2 linked regions of the Kluyveromyces lactis genome follow. The protein of the gene in region 1 purifies or fractionates together with the protein of each later gene. This does not show direct contact. Links are inferred from orthologs where the notes say so. Each region holds a gene or a part of one and is shown on either strand. Other genes may lie near its edges.

Region 1 (3,287 bases):
CTGAGGATTGGAAGGTAATTTGGATCAGTAGGTCAGTTCTGATAATCTTTCTTTATTAAAAACCTCTAATAGATCCTTCTTATCAAATGTATAAAAAACTTATAAGTAATTTGAGATGAATCAATAAATGAATGAATGGAGGAACACAAAGAAAAGAAAGATGTATACACCAAAATATTACCACTGGTAACGTTCTTTGTTGAAAAGTTTGACCCTGACGATAAATCTCGAATCTAAAAACTTATTATCTTTTGCCTAAAGCAACCCGAACGAAAACAGAAACTAAATTCCACCATTATCAGGTGTGTACATAAGTTACAAGTAATAGAATCTCTATGTTTGTTCCTTTGTTTATCTCATCCTGCCAATTCTTCCTGTAACCGTTCTGGATCTGGTAAAAAATTGGTGAAGTTGAGAATGTATCGCTATATACGATATACAAAACGCGAATCAATATGAAACACGATTACCCGGACCTCTAGTAACCTCATGTTACCGCCCGATCTGGCTGGAACACTCGAATCGGGCGAAAAAATTTCGTGACAGTCACGTGAGACGTAACCGGGTAATAGAATCTCATTATTAGACATGTGACACACATACCTACATATACATATATATGTATATTCACATGTATGGTATATTCCACTACTGTTCCATCGCTTCCCATATACGGCTCACTAGGACAGGGCTATCTTCGTCGAACGTCTCTGTAAGCTCAGTCTCGAGTGCCTGTTTCGATTGATGTTCTTCGATGTTTTCAAAGATATATGAGACTAAGTCGGGCTCGTAAACTCCCAAGTATTCTTTGACGAGTTCTTCCACTACGCCGCTTTCCCTTAGTAGATTCAACTTCTGTTGGAACGCATCGGTTTCAGGAGTCTCTTCCTCTTCTATCTCATTCTTTGTCTTTCCAATGGATTTCTTTAGTGCTAATTTAATCTTTGGTGCAGCCGTTGTCGCATCTGCGTCCGATACCAATTTTGTCTCTGTCTCTGTCTCTGGCTCTAGCTCTAGCTCTAGTTCTGTCTCTGGCTCTGTTTCTGTTGCTTTTTTCTTTGGTACTTCTTCAGATTCCCGTTTACGGTCCTCTTCATCTGCCTTGGATTCAGATTCCTTGTATGGCCTGTGATGGTCGTGGTAAGGATCCATGGCAAGATGTAATAACTCTTTTAACATAGGACCTTTGTTCTTTTGTAAATGCGTTTCGTAGTTTTGTAACCTTTGGTATTCTTGTCGTAGCGATGAGTATTGGACCAGTAACGAATCTTGGAAACTATGAACCATGGATTCATACTGGGCTTCTTGCGCATCTCTTTCCGCTTGAACTCTTTTTTTTTCCGCTTCGTAATCGTCCGCATCTTCATCATCGTAACCCTCAACCTCGTCGTCTGAATCTTCAGAGTCACTTTCAGCTTCAGGGGCTGAACCTTTTTCCGAGCCTCCATTAGTAACCTTGATACGGTCAAATATATGCTTCAAGTTTTGTTTCCTCCGTTTTTCTTCCTCCGCTAGCTCTTTATTCCGTTTCTCTTTCTCTAACGTAATGACACGAGTTCTAAACTCAACAATATCCTTACACAATTGGTCTAATGAGGAACTCGGAAGGTCACTCAACGTACTTATATCCACGTTATACTCAACGGCACTATTTCCAGCCAACCCTTTCTCCTGAGATATAGAGCCTGGTTCAGATCTCAACATTGTAATTAATGCGGAGAACTCATCTTTTGCAGTTTCATCGAGTTCCTTAGCAGGAGAACCTTCCGTCAGATCGCAAACGAACCGTCTAGTGTTTTCATCCATGTGAAGTCCGATCCCATCTGACCCGTTGTCAAACAATTTCTCAAGTAACTGTATCGCTTTCCCATATTCTTCCACTATACTTTCCTGGAAACTTATATATACCGTCAACGTATTCACACAATCGACGTAACTCCATTGTTTGATAAATTTGGTCTCATTATCTTCAACTTGCAGCTTTTTCCGTATTAGATTGTCTAGTCTGTCCATAACTTTATCAATACCCTTGGATCCAAGTCCCAGTGGAAAATGTGCTAAACAAACGGTATGCAACTGTTGTTCTAACGAAATTGGTAAAAAGGACTTCAAATCAACATAGCGTGAAGTTGAAGTCTTGAATTCATCAGAATTGTCCGTTTCATTAGTCTTCGAGGCTACTGAATTCCCTTTATCATGGTCTCTATGGCTGTTGGCTTGTTTCAACGACTGTTCAAATTTGGGGATATCACTCTTCAAAATCGGCACATATCCTGGCTTCGGCACCTGTGATTGCCAGTTCTTCGTGTCTCCACAGCAGTATAATGTGGGCGACACAAACAATACAGTATCCATTAGTGAGTTAAACACGTTCGGCCTAGTAGTATCAGCGTTTATTTGCTAACTCATCGCTGAAACTTTACGTCTACTCTCTCGATATATATATTTCAAGATTTTTCCAATTAATTGATATTTACAAAAGACCAAAGTTAAACACACTGTACGTTATTTATATGATATCTGAAATTGAAAGATCGTTACTCACCTGCAGGGCCTCTTTCCAGAACTTGCTTAAATGTCTAGAGCCACTGTCACATGCAATGATGCAAACATTTGAACCCTTCGGTAAGTTTTCCGCATATTTCAGCACTGCGACTGCATTGATTGCAGTACTGGCACCAACGAATAATCCGTCATTTACACATAAGAATTTGGCCATCTTAATAGCTTCCTCGTCTGTAATTCTGATGGAATCATCTATATAATTTTCCGCTTTCAGAAAGTTGTTTGTAATTCTGTTAAGACCAATTCCTTCCACTAATGTGTCCACTTGATGTCTTCTTCTTGTTCCTTCTTTCTCTACGTTATCGTACATGACACCGTATTTGATTCTATTGTAGAAACCCGAGCCTTGCGGATCAGCCAACACAATATGTACTTTGTCACCTCTTTTCTCCTTTAGATAACGAGAAACACCGGCCATGGTACCACCAGTACCGCATCCCGTGATGAATGCATCCACTTCCCCATTTAATTGTAGATAAATTTCAGGTCCTGTCGTTTCGTAATGGCATTTCCAATTGGCCTCGTTCTCGAATTGATCTGCAAATACACCAACACCCTCAGTGTACTCTTCTGAACACGACTTAGCTGCATTTACGTATTGGTTCGGATCCACTATACTAGCAGGTTTTACCTTGTTCACTATTGCACCAAGTGCAGTTAAAAGAGAAAGTTTCTCTTGGCTTGTATCGTCCGGTAGCGAGATATGGCATGAGTAACCCAAC
Region 2 (2,455 bases), on another chromosome or scaffold:
CTGAGCAAAGTAAGCCTTCTCTTGCAGAGATTAAGGATATTATCAACAGAACTTCTGGCCCATTAGGTTTGAAGAAAGATCTATTAAAGAAAGTTCAAGAGGCTTTACCAGAAGAACATTTCAACGATACTCAAATCCAAGAACAGATAAGATCGTTGAATGCTATAATGAGCGATAAATATAAGAATTATTATGCTGTAGGGGACAAATTATACAAGCCAGCAGGTAACCCAATTTATTACAAAAGATTGCATGACGAAATCGAAGGTAAGGGTAAGGAAACTTTCTTTACAGCTATGAGAACTGTCGTATTTGGTAAGTAATTTCGGTTTCAGGGTTTTAGAGCTTCGTATGCATATATGTATATATCATTTCTGTCTTTTTCGTTTCTAGTGTATCTGTACTGTACAGGCCTCCATACACTGACTGTAAATAATTTATATTCAATCTATTCTATTTATTCTGTTTATCTGTTGCTGATAAATGTACTATTAAAGCGTAGATTGTTGGTTCCAGTTCCGACCTGTGAACGCTTTGAATTTATTGATTCGCATTGAAATGTAGAATCATTTCTTGGCGTATCCAATCTTTATCGTTACATTCTTGAATGGATGATCATGACCTAAGGTTTCAACAACTTTAGTGGCATTTGCTGTAGAATCATATTCAACAAAGCAAAGATTTCTGACACTGACCAATCTAACCTCTTTAAATCCATCTGAGACAAATAACTTTTCCAATTCTTGCTGAGTAACATCTTTTGGAAGATTTTGAACCAATAGGACATGGTGAGGGGGATTTCCGACAATGTCAAAGACTTTTTTAGTGGAGGAAACTTTCTCCGACTGCTGTGACATAGCAGTCTTGTTGGTACCTTCAGGATTTGTTTTTCTGGGCTTTGAAAGAAGCTTCTGTATGGTTTCTTCGTCCAAATCCTTCTTTCTAAGCTTACTTCTAGCTCTTCTTAACCTTCTTTTCAACACTTCGTTTTTTGTCTTGGTCTTGGGCTGTGAATTATCCACAGCTTTACGTGTACGTAACCGAAGTTCATCCTGTAGCTGTTTCTGTTGTCCCTGGTAGTACAAAGCTGCGAAAGAATCCGTATTCGCCAGCTTTATATTTATCTTTCTCCCATTAATCTTGAGCTTGCCTTGAAATTCTATAAGGAACGTATTACAACTGTCTGAGTCCTTAAAAGTGACGAAACAAGACCTCCTCAAGGGTCTTGAGCCATACCTTGATACCTCTATGATCTGATACTTTTCATCGAGTACTGGTGTAACCGCATCAGCCTCACTAGTTTCTTTCTTCGAGTTCAGATCGAATCTTGTACTAACATCATTTGAAATAGAACGATGATCTGAATTAACACTTGATAGTAGTAAGGCTCTGAATTTGGACAATGAGTCGGGCCTCGACGGTAGATTCGACAGATATAAGGTACTGACCATTGCTTGCCGATAGATACTAGCTTTGTATGGCATGTGTAATAACCTAATAGAGAAGGATATCACAACCTATTAACAAATAGTCCATACGTATTAGTATTAGTAAATTTGTTGACAATGAAAGTTGTTGTTACGTTAAGTTAAGATTATATGAATAACTAAATACTAAATAGAAATGTAAATACAGTGAGAACAAAACAAAAAAAAACGAACAGAGAAACTAAATCCACATTAATTGAGAGTTCTATCTATTAGAAAATGCAAACTCCAACTAAATGGGAAAACAGATAACCTCTTTTATTTTTTTTTAATGTTTGATATTCGAGTCTTTTTCTTTTGTTAGGTTTATATTCATCATTTCAATGAATAAAAGAAGCTTCTTATTTTGGTTGCAAAGAATGAAAAAAAAGGATTTTTTCATACTTCTAAAGCTTCAATTATAACCAAAAATTTTATAAATGAAGAGAAAAAATCTAGTAGTATCAAGTTAAACTTATTTCTTACCAGCCTTGACAGCGGCCTTGGTGACCTTACCGGCCTTGTCAGTCTTGTCAACGGACTTGATAACACCGACAGCGACGGTTTGTCTCATGTCTCTGACAGCGAATCTACCTAGAGGTGGGTAGTCAGAGAAGGCTTCAACACACATTGGCTTAGATGGAACGAACTTAACCAAAGCAGCATCACCGGACTTCAAGAACTTTGGAGAGTCTTCCAACTTCTTACCGGATCTTCTGTCGTTCTTTTCCAACAATTCGTCGAACTTACAAGCAATGTGAGCAGTGTGACAATCCAAAACTGGAGAGTAACCAGCAGAGATTTGACCTGGATGGTTCAAGACGATAACAGTGGCGTTGAAAGAAGCAGCAGCCTTTGGTGGATCGTTCTTGGAGTCACCACAGACGTTACCTCTTCTGATTTCCTTAACGGAAACGTTCTTGACGTTGAAACCGACGTTGTCACCTGGTAGACCTTCTTCCAATTGTTCGTGGTGCATTTCGACGGAC

What was found. The genes of interacting proteins can lie anywhere in the genome.
Region 2: the proteins of SNU71 (region 1) and MUD1 purify together in Saccharomyces cerevisiae (affinity purification with mass spectrometry; 9 studies listed by BioGRID, with this or other methods). This does not show direct contact. The link is inferred for Kluyveromyces lactis from reciprocal best matches to the Saccharomyces cerevisiae genes SNU71 and MUD1.

Annotation. Positions count from the first base shown.
Region 1 is NC_006039.1:1,599,320-1,602,606, forward strand, and holds SNU71 (Snu71p), read right to left. Parts: upstream 2,356-3,287; coding exon 649-2,355; downstream 1-648. Other genes in the region: MCY1 (putative cysteine synthase), read right to left, coding at 2,510-3,287. UniProt on the Saccharomyces cerevisiae protein: Component of the U1 snRNP particle, which recognizes and binds the 5'-splice site of pre-mRNA. Together with other non-snRNP factors, U1 snRNP forms the spliceosomal commitment complex, that targets pre-mRNA to the splicing pathway.
Region 2 is NC_006038.1:785,556-788,010, forward strand, and holds MUD1 (Mud1p), read right to left. Parts: upstream 1,485-2,455; coding exon 567-1,484; downstream 1-566. Other genes in the region: CBP6 (Cbp6p), read left to right, coding at 1-323; TEF2 (translation elongation factor EF-1 alpha), read right to left, coding at 1,942-2,455. UniProt on the Saccharomyces cerevisiae protein: Involved in nuclear mRNA splicing. The principal role of the U1A is to help fold or maintain U1 RNA in an active configuration. It is the first snRNP to interact with pre-mRNA.